2 linked regions of the Arabidopsis thaliana genome follow. The protein of the gene in region 2 interacts with the protein of the main gene of each other region in a pairwise test. Each region holds a gene or a part of one and is shown on either strand. Other genes may lie near its edges.

Evidence for each region.
Region 1: the proteins of ATX1 (region 2) and RAN1 interact in a two-hybrid assay, tested with the Arabidopsis thaliana proteins (one study listed by BioGRID).

Annotation. Positions count from the first base shown.
Region 1 is NC_003076.8:18,074,938-18,082,215, forward strand, and holds RAN1 (copper-exporting ATPase / responsive-to-antagonist 1 / copper-transporting ATPase (RAN1)), read right to left. Parts: upstream 5,224-7,278; 5' UTR 4,881-5,223; coding exon 4,563-4,880; intron 4,444-4,562; coding exon 3,844-4,443; intron 3,740-3,843; coding exon 3,310-3,739; intron 3,143-3,309; coding exon 2,817-3,142; intron 2,699-2,816; coding exon 2,640-2,698; intron 2,548-2,639; coding exon 2,205-2,547; intron 2,114-2,204; coding exon 1,919-2,113; intron 1,824-1,918; coding exon 1,566-1,823; intron 1,386-1,565; coding exon 909-1,385; 3' UTR 625-908; downstream 1-624. UniProt on the Arabidopsis thaliana protein: Involved in copper import into the cell. Essential for ethylene signaling, which requires copper. Acts by delivering copper to create functional hormone receptors.
Region 2 is NC_003070.9:24,685,389-24,689,048, forward strand, and holds ATX1 (homolog of anti-oxidant 1), read right to left. Parts: upstream 2,030-3,660; 5' UTR 1,940-2,029; coding exon 1,841-1,939; exon of another isoform or gene 1,758-1,840; intron 1,466-1,757; coding exon 1,390-1,465; intron 1,203-1,389; coding exon 1,057-1,202; 3' UTR 726-1,056; downstream 1-725.

The sequences.
Region 1 (7,278 bases), on a different chromosome or scaffold from region 2:
AATCAGCTTTCACGAATTTGATCTATGCATGTGCTCTACTATGAACATGGTCGAAGGAGACACTATCTTGACAGTCCAACAATCATCGGAAGCACAATGCAACTTTGTAAACTTTGAGGCATTTGATTACTGTTGGAAGTTGATTCTCTACTCAATCATCCAATTGACAAGAAGACCAAAGAAGGAGAAGAAGTCTCAAATTGAAAGAACGAAGAAGAATATGTATGAGTCGTCAAGTACAAAGGAAGAAAAAGTTGGTAAGATCTTTGACTTGAAAATTAAGACAGAAGGTATCCCACTTCACGTAAGCTAACCACTCCTACACAAGATGAAAAAGAAGAAACAAATGGAATGTGAGGAACAAGAAACGAAAGATCAAAAATGATCTACAACTGCTGTTCAGTGCGGTCTGATACGAAAATCAACTCCCAATAAACAGTCACTAAGATGGTGAATGGATAATTAATCTTGGACTTCAATGGACTCGTGAAGCAAAAACCTTAGGTATATTAAACCGGAAATCTCGCTAAAGATTGGCAAAAGCTATAGTTGCTTACTTCTTACATAATAATAATAATTGATGTCGCAAAATTCAGAACAATTCTAAATTCAATATGTCGTGTTAAATCTGTATTCGATTATCAGATAAAAATATCATTTTATAGTCACATTAGAGGAATTCACTACTTTCACCATTTTACATTAATAATCGAGCACAAAGCATCGAAACCATTTTTTTACAACAAAGGCCGAGAGGACACATTTCTTACAGAAAAAAAGAAACCTCTCCAAGACCAATATCGTTGTTACATGATTACAACAACAACAGCACAAAAGAAAAGTAAATACAAATTATTTTCAGAACAAAAGTAGTCGAGTCACTCCAATGTAAGAAAACAAAGGACTTTTTACTCCGTGGTGATTTTCAAAACAGTGGTAAGTCTTGGCTTCTTGTATCTTCTAAGAAGCAAAGAAGAGCAAACAACACTAACCGAAGAGAGTGCCATACATGCTCCGGCTGCCCAAGGCGGTAATTGCACCCGCAGAACCGGGAAAAACACTCCTGCTGCTATCGGGATTGACACTACATTGTACGCCATTGCGAAGACGTAATTTAATCGGATTCGTGTTAAGGTTTTTCGAGAGAGATCGATGGCTGTTATAACGTCTTCTAAGTTGTTTCTCATCAGAACGTAATCTGCTGCTTCTATTGCTACATCTGTTCCTGCACCAATTGCCATTCCCACATCTGCAGCGGCTAGAGCGGGAGAGTCATTGATTCCGTCTCCTACCATGGCTACTGTGCTTCCGTCCTTTTGCAGCGAACGTATAACGTCAGCTTTACCAGCTGGCATTACTTCTGCTCTCACATCTTCGATACCAACCTGCACTCATGCCACCATAAACCCCATCAATATTCTACTAAAACAATTGTTTATCAAGATTGATTACACACTTATAGAAGTAAATATTTTAACGAAATCGAACCACTATAACCGAACAGAATGCAAAAAAAAAAAGAATGACTACACCTAATCACATAGATTGTGAAATAAGATTCTAACCTCTTTGGCGACTGCTCTTGCTGTTCTCCAGTTATCACCTGTAACCATTATGGGTCGAACACCCATTCTAAGGAGACCTTCCACAACCAAAGCGGCTTCTCGCTTTAGAGGATCCGCGATTCCCATCACACCAACTAATTTCCCATTATAGGCTACAATGACTCCCGTCTTTCCGCTTTCTTCAAGATCTTCCACAAATTTCTCGACATGGTCTGGGATGTTTATGGCATTTTCTGACATAAGTTTACGGTTTCCCACCTGATCAAAGAGGATAAAACAAAACTTTCTTTCAGTTGGCGAGAACAGGACCAAAAGCAAGAAGTTGATAATATATTATGGAATAAAACCCCAACCAGAATCATCTTCTCATTGACTAAGCACTGAATCCCTTTTCCGGGAAGAGCAGAGAAATCCGAGGTATCAAGTAACCATCCAGAGTTTTGCAAATCTTTGTTATTTGTTTCGCCATCTTCAGTGGATTCATCAAAGAAGTGGAAATGCCGAGCGTACGCAACTATAGCTTTTGCCAATGGGTGTTCACTGCTAGCCTAAGGAAATTAAGAGACAATATGAAAAGCTTTAGTAACAGTTTATACATCACTATCAATCCAAGCAGCTAGGAAGGAAGATTTATCTTACCTCAGCAGACGCAACAAGTGTAAGGAATTCTCCACGGTCCATCTCTGAGAAGACCTTTGTGGTTGTCACAGTAGCTTTTCCTTGAGTTAAGGTGCCTGTTTTGTCAAAGATTACATACTTCACTTTGTGAGCTTTCTCTAATGCATCACCTCCTTTGATCAATACACCATTGGTTGCTCCAACTCCTGTTGCCACCATAACAGCAGTCGGTGTTGCCAAGCCAAGTGCACAAGGACAAGCAATTACCACAACGGATATTGAGAACATAAGCGAGAAAACAAAGTGAGTCCCGTTCTCCGGAAGCCATTCGTCTGGGTAAGCTCCAACAGCTCCACCAATTGACCTTCAAAATCATATGTATCAAGAAATAAGAACAAACTAATCCCAAGTGTTTCGTTCTCAGAGAAAAATTAAAGCTAAGGTACTAGATCTTACCAGCCTACTAAGGTGAACAATGCCAAAGTAATCACTACCGGAACAAAAATACTTGCAACCTGAAAATTGGACAAGCCAGGGTAAGTTTGTGTCCCTGTTAATGACTATATCACAAAGGAACAAGCAATAACACCAATGGATGACACGCTTATTGACATGTTTATCTAATATACTTACATAATCCGCAAATTTCTGAATAGGAGCTTTTGACATTTGGGCGGTCTCGACCAAACTAATAATCTGGCTCAGAACTGCATCAGATCCCACCTTTGTAGCTTTCATGTGAAGAGCACCATGCATATTAATAGTACCCCCGATTACTGGTGAATCAACCTCTTTTGATACAGGAACTGATTCACCAGTCACCATACTTTCATTAACGTAACTTGAACCCCACACCACAACACCATCTGCAGGGATCTTTGCACCGGGATGAACTTTTAATGTATCACCAGGCTGAATCAATAATGCATCTATCTCCCTTTCCCCTACAAGCTTTCCTCCTATAAAAAGGAAGAAAGAATTGGAACTGAACTTAAACAAAGTTGAATAGTTGAGCTTTCGTTTTTGATAGATTTCAAGCTTATTGATAAACGATCCTCATTGGAAGCATTTCCGTATAACCAGCATTTCCATGTAAAAATCATTCAAGGATAAGACAAGTAAGTACCTTTGCCTTCAGTTAGTAAAATCGCTGTTGCTGGCGTAAGTTGTACTAGTTTCTTCATAGCATCCGAGGTTTTCCCCTTTGCAAGAGACTCTAAATATTTTCCCAGTAAGACAAAAGTTATCAGCATGGCGCTTGCATCAAAGTATGTTGGAGACCAAAATCCAGTGACTGCTCCATATAAAAGAGCCCCAACAGAGTAGAAGTAAGAAGCAGACGTGCCCAGAGCGACGAGCACATCCATGTTAGTTGAACCATTTCGTAGAGCTCTCCATGCTGCAACATAGAATCGCTTGCCGATAACAAACTGAATAACACTTACCAAGGCCCATTTCAACCAATCACCCATCATGAAGGGTCCACATCTCCATACCAGTAAGGCATCAAAAAGAGCAATGTGGGGGCAGATTACTTGGATGAAGAAGAGAGGAATCTGGAAAAGAAAATCATTTCTGTTAAATGACATTAGATAACAGATTCAAGACAAATGATTGTATCATAAATGGTGAGTGCATTCAAATAAGTTAAGTTACTCACACTAAGAACAAGACTGGAGATAAAACGCCGAAACATATTTGAGGCCTCTCCAGTATCTTTCGAAGACAACCTTTCATAAGGGCTCATAACACGCAACTTAAACTTCCCAAATCCATCTTCTTCAATCCCATCAACCAAAGATCTCGAACTAACAACTTCCGGATCAAACACAACCTCAAGCTCTCCAGATATCCTGTCAAGACGAAACTGTCTAACCCCATTCAATCTAGTAAGTATCCCTTCTAAAACCTGAGCATCAAGCTCATTCAAAATCCCATCCACCCTTAAAACAAGCTTATCCTGCTGATTACTCTGCACAAGCGAACCTTCAAACCCAGCATCTTCAATCGCATTAACAATATCATCCTTGTTAATAACATTTGGATCATACTCAACTTCTCCTAATGATGTAGACAAAGCTACCACTGCTCTTTTCACTCCAGGAAGATCTCTTAGAATACCTTCAACAGAGTTAACACAAGCTGCACAAGTCATACCTCCAATTGTAAATTGACCCACCAAAGTAGCTTGTGTCTGTTCTTCAGCCAATATCTCAGCCTCAAATCCAGCATCCTCTATAGCTTCTTTAATATCCTCTTCCTAAAAACATACAACAATAATAAATGCTCCAAATCAAATCAATTCCTGGAGCAATAAATTTCAACAACTACTGTATATATATATATATATAAGATCTCAAAAATCCAAAATGATGAAACCTTGACTAAATTAGGGTCGAAGACGACATCGGCTCGATTCTGTAACAAAGCAACAGAGGCTTTGAAGACGCCATTAACGTTCATCAAAGCTGCTTCAACGGAATTAGAACAAGCAGCACAAGTCATACCGGTGACTCCGACCTGAATCTTCCTTAAACCGGAAACATCTCTTCCTTCTTCGATTTTAGTCAAAATATCATCGGCGTTCGCTTCGTTGTGATACGAATCGAGAAGACCAACTTCTTCCATATCACTGATCTGGGAAGAAGAACCTCCGGTGACCGGAGTAAGCTGTAAATCCCGTCTACTCGGCGCCATTTCTTTACGACAAGCAGACGGGAAGGTTGAGAAATCGGAGAAGATAAAGAGGAAGGTATCTTCTTCGTCTTCTTCAACGATGATGATGATGGTGATTTGAAAATCTCAGAGACCTTTCTTTTTTCCTTTATGTAATAACAATGGAGGAATTTTTGAAGAAAAAAAAATTTTAAAAAAAAAAACAAAAAGTAAAAACAAAACTCAAAAATATTATTTTCGTAGAGAGATAGAAGAAGGTGGAAGATAGCAATTTTTCAACTAAAACACGTATCAGATAATGACAATTTTACCCTTAATCACTTTGAGTAAATTATATTTATGGGCTTTTTTGTTGTGATCGTCATTGTACACGACTAAATCAAAAGAAAAACTGAATCTATTTATTTATTGATTAGGATCTATTTATCCGAGTATTTTATATAGGAGCTGAAGTAAAAAAAGAAAAGCATTTTATAGGAGAAATCTATTATTACTATGTACGTATGTAATTAAAGGAAATATTAATAGTACTTGTTCAAGAGTTAACAAAAAATCTGGAAATATTAATAGAGTTTTAAAATATCTGAAAACATTTAAAAAAAAAACTGAAAATATTAATAGATTTTTAATGAAAAATCTAGAGCACTAGAGCTTTGATCTATACTTTTTTCATTAAATATTCTTAGAAACATGTTAAATGACATTTGTTAATGGTTTTTTTTACAGCATTTGTTAATGATTTTGATTGGTCTTGTTGATTTTTTAATTATTGCATACAGTTGTTCAAAACGTGTATGTTAAATAATTATTGTTTGAAGTCGTCGTCTACTAATTAATTTGATTCCAAAATTAAACAACCTAGTGTAGTCATAGACGAAGGAAAAAAAATACGATAGTAGTAGACTAGTAGTAAATGTTTATGGGCACATGGATCTTTGTGTTTATATAGGAAGTTACAGCTGTACTGTTTTTTCCACGGTAATTTTACTATGGTTCAATGGATGTAGCCTAGTCTGATCCCGAGGAGTGGTAGACTCGTGAGACCTATTTATATTTTTAAATAGTAGTAGTAGTCAAATAAATGCACCCATTGTTTATAATTAATTTATACTTAAACGTTGAAAATGAGGAAAAAAATGCAATAATATATGTTTGAAATCTAATTTCGATAAATTTTCTAGTTTTTGATAGCATGTTGTAACTTGTCAGTAATTTTAAATCAAATTATAAGAATCTTTTCAATTATAAATGACTTTTAGAACAAATATATGATTTGCCAATATTTTACTAATTTTTTAGTAGCAGATTAGTATTATTCAAATTCAAGATGATGTTAAAAAAATATTGTATCAAAATAGTATCATTTAGATATCTTTAAGAAAATCCAATGATACTATTTTTAGTTTGTTGAAAAAAATGCATACAAAATTTACCAATTGAACTATTTTTTTACCCAATAAAAATGCATACAAAAAACATTGAAAAATTAATATGTATAGTTTATTTCTTTACTGACTAATATAGACTACTAAACATAGTAGTAGACTAGAGTTGGTAAAAAAAAACATTGATTGGTAAAATAATTGCATAAAACAATTACAAAAAAAAAACTAACAAAGACAAAAGTCAAAATAAAAACTATGATAGAAGTTAGTCTAATAGTACTGGAAACGAGTATACCATGGCGTCAATTAATCTAATGTACCATGTGATAACAAGCAATGTGAAGCTAAATAATATAGGCGTTAATCTAAGAATTCTAATTCTTAGCTCTTGCCATTAGATATTAATTATATTCTTAGATTAATCAAATAGTAATTGTAACGAATGATATCATGCAATGTGAAGCTAATAATATGTGCGTTAATCTAAGAATTCTGATACTAGCTATTGCCATTGGATATTCTTAAAAAAATATAGCTATGGTTTTGGTTTTGGTTTTCTTCATTTTATATCTATTGTATTTCCAAAATCGCATATCTAATGAGTTTATCTATAACTCTTCTTCTTCTTTTTTTGGTATGATATAAACTCGGAACTATTACAGAGAACCAAATTCTGAAACATTGGAATAGTTAGTTTACTTTTTCTTTCGTTGGAATGTGACTTCCACTCCACTTATCAAAAGCTAATACACCAAATATACTTTCTCTCTGTCTGAATCATTCATTATGCTTTCTACGAACAAATAAAAAACAAGAAAAACAAAGGCAAAGATAACAATATGAACCTTCCACTTAAGAAAGATCAAGAGATAAGCTTTGACCTAAATGTATTAGACTATTAGTCTTTTTCCTTTCTTTTTTTCTTTGTTTGTTGTCAAGACCTAAAACGTAGACTTCAAGTAATCTTAAAAACAATTCATGGTTCCTTAAAACATAATTTGTATAGTACATATAGCTTTCAAAAGAGTGACGGT
Region 2 (3,660 bases):
AGTGTATGAATTATGATTATAGTACATACAAACGAATGGAATTTGATATATTTAAATTAAATTTTCAGTATCATAGGTTTTAGTGAAGACTAAGTTTATGTGAAAATGTGTCATCATTGTCAATGAATTTTCCTCAAATTCGGTCTCTTTATAAAGAAAAATTGTGCTATGATCCTTGGAATTTAATATCTATTTTTTTTGCAGATATGAATATGAAATATCAAAAAGTTACCCAGAGATCAATAATAACAAACATAAAATTCATCATTTAATCATTAAAATTGGATGCACAATTTCACGATTCGTTTGCCTTTTCTTTTGTTTTTAATTATTTTCTAATAGTCTTTTGAGATTTACCATTTTGTCGAATTGTATCATCAATATAGCCCACGCAAAAGGTTTTTATATGATGGATCTTGAAAAATTGATTCTCCAAACAAACTGGCCCATTGGGCCAACATAGATTTGTAACGGCTACACTCACCCTGAAGAAATTATTCGGTGGAAAAATCAGCCCAGCTCATAGCTATCTTAAAACAAAAAAAAAAATTTTACTTCTCTTAAAACATCAAACGTTTCAGAGGCTGGTTCTTTTGAGGAAGATTCAACTGCATCCAAGGATTTGTCTTATGTTGGAGACTTGTAGTGAATAGGAAGATTCTTTAGCTAATTAAAATAATGATTGGATCAATTTCTTCTTGGAACTCTTCCAAAGAACATGAATTGTTTTGACTTTGGTCTTTGGTCATCTCATCTTTTAAGCCTCCAGCTAGTGAAAACACAATTTTGCAAGCCCAAGGAAAAAGGTTGCCATAAGCCTAATTGGATTACGCTGAGCTGCTTTCATACGTAAGAATTCTTCTAAGCTTGTTATCGGCTCCTGCTTTATCAGACCAGATAATGCCCCAGTGCATATTTATTCACTCAAAAGTGTGTTGTATCATCTATAGTTCCAATACACTCAGCCACAAGTCACAAGCAACAGAAGAAGAAAATAAAAAGATTTCACATAGATTTTATTAAAACAGAGAATCACATAAAATGATCTGCTTCTCCTTAAGCCTTAGCAGTTTCACCTTCAGCTTCCCAAAAAGCCGTTTTCTTTCCGGTTTTCGTCACGGTCTGTAAAACTGCGTCTGGCTGCACGTTGCCTTTCACCGTCACTTTCTGCTCCTTTATATCAACGTCAAATGACTCCACGCCTGAAACCAAAAAACCGAGTGAAGAGAGTGATGTTCCATGCTTTAGAAAAGATAGAAAACATTGCAGATTCCGCGATATCGACAATCTTTTCCGATGAATCTATATGTTTACCGTAAGACAAGTGGGTTCAAAGCATTTTGATACAGATCATAACATCAATAGCCAAAATAAGAAAAATAATCTAACCTTCCATTTTCCCAAGAACTCTTTTCACAGCTCCAACACATCCCTCACATGTCATGGCCACTCTGAGAACAACGGTCTAAACGATATATAAACATAAGTAACCCATAAGCTTAACTTCTGTGCAACTTATAGATCAAACGAACAAGACAATCATATAGCTAAGAATCAGATTCAACTTAACAAAAGTGATCTACCAAAACCATTTGAAACACTAACTAAAGATCATCTGAAAACCAAACACAAGACACCAAACCCTTTTTAGATTCAAGATCTGTGTTTCTGAAAATGCTTTTGAACCACAGATCAATTGATATATCATATTTAGATCGATGGAATAGAAAAGAAGAAGGAATTCAATAAGATAAGACCTAGATCCAGAACAATCTTTATAATGACCCCAGATCGAGAAATTGAGAATTCAAAGAACAGAATCAACACTGATGAAAAATACCTGAGACATAGCTTTCGATTCAACCACCGACAAGGCTTGAAAGAGAGAGAGACTTGCAGTGTTTTGATAGGATACGGCTTGGAACAAGTCTTTAAGCATAAAATGATTGTACTTTGTACTACTAATATTTTAAGATTCTCTTTCTGAAACCCATGATCTATTTTGTTTTTGGTCTTTTTTATTTTTATTTTCACAATTGCGTTTTCAATTAAAGATAAATATAGAAAAATAAGAAACATTAAATTAGACACATGTTTTATATGTGTTTACCACATTGTTATGATCTAAAAATTACAAAAGTAGTAAAAATACTTTTTATGCACATTTTTCTTTGACACAACTTTTTATACACATATATGATTACATTTAAAATTGATACTTACTACTAATTTTTAAAAAATATGTTTATCACATTCAAAATATATAATAAGGAATTCTCAGAAATGTCCTAAAATACTACTATACTAAGTTTTTGTCCAAAAAGTACCAATATTAGTTTTTTTCAAAAATACCACTACAATTGTTTTAGTCCAGAAATACCACAAACACTCAAAATAATTTTGTAAGGTTTACAATTTCAAAATTTAGGTTTGAGTGTATTATTTTCGGTTTAGAGTCTTAGTTTTTAGGGTTTATAATTAAGGTTTGAAGGCTTAAAGTTTTAGTTTCAGTTTTGTGGTATTTTTGGAAAAATAGCTTTAATGGTATTTTGAAACAAAAACTCATTTTAAGGGTGTTTTTAAGAATTTCCCATTCTCTTTTTCTTAATTCATTTTTAATGCAACAATTAATTAAATATAATTTATTGCAACAACTAACTAATCCGTTTGAGAGTATAAGTGGCAATATGTTTTATTTTTTGGGTAAGGAGTGGCAATATGTTAGGTATCCAAATGTTTTAACTAAATTAATATTTTTTACATCCAAATGCTAGTATTTTTAGACACAAAGTACCCATCTTTAAAGAAGATAAAAAATTCATAATGGCATGTAATGTTAATATTATCAAACTAAATTTTTGTTTTTATTCATATTTAGTGCTGTTCAATTTATATATAAATTCTTTATTTTATTTTTTTTGTTCAAATATATATATATTTTATATAAAACTTAATTTTAGTCATGAATCGTTTTTTTTATTTTGAAAAAAAATTAGTAAGTAACGTCCATACCAATTAATCACTCTTTAAATGTGTATGAGCTATTTTGGTTTTCCTTTCCAAAATTTGAAACGAACATACAAAAAACATCTCATTGTGCACTCAATACTCAACTTCAATTTATTCATAGTATCACACATTAACACATAAATGAAACAACTTATATTTTTTCCTCCTATTGCTCATTCCTTTCAAATTTCATCTAAAACCATAAGATTTGGATTTCTGTATTTTTAAGTAAAGAAATCTTCTCAATCCTCTCAAATCCTTCAAAATTCTTAAGAATCAAATCCACAAATTGTTTTCAATAACAATGAATTTTAAGATAGATTTTTAAATCATTAATTCAATAGAACTGGATTTCATTAGAGTTTTTAAAATCCATAATTGAATAACATAAGATTTGTAAATTTTACACAAATCACTTAAATACTAGATTGAATACACCCCCTCTAAGAAAACAACTTTTAACAAGAACTTTGTATTCTCTTTTACACATATAGACATAACAGAAAAGGGCAAAGACAAAATGAGTTTCAAGTTCATTCTTATAGCTACGCTTCTACTTTTATGCATCGCATCTTCCAATTCGACCATCACTTTACTTTTTAGAAATCAGAAAATTAGTAAGTTTATACTTTGATTCATGAATCATGCATA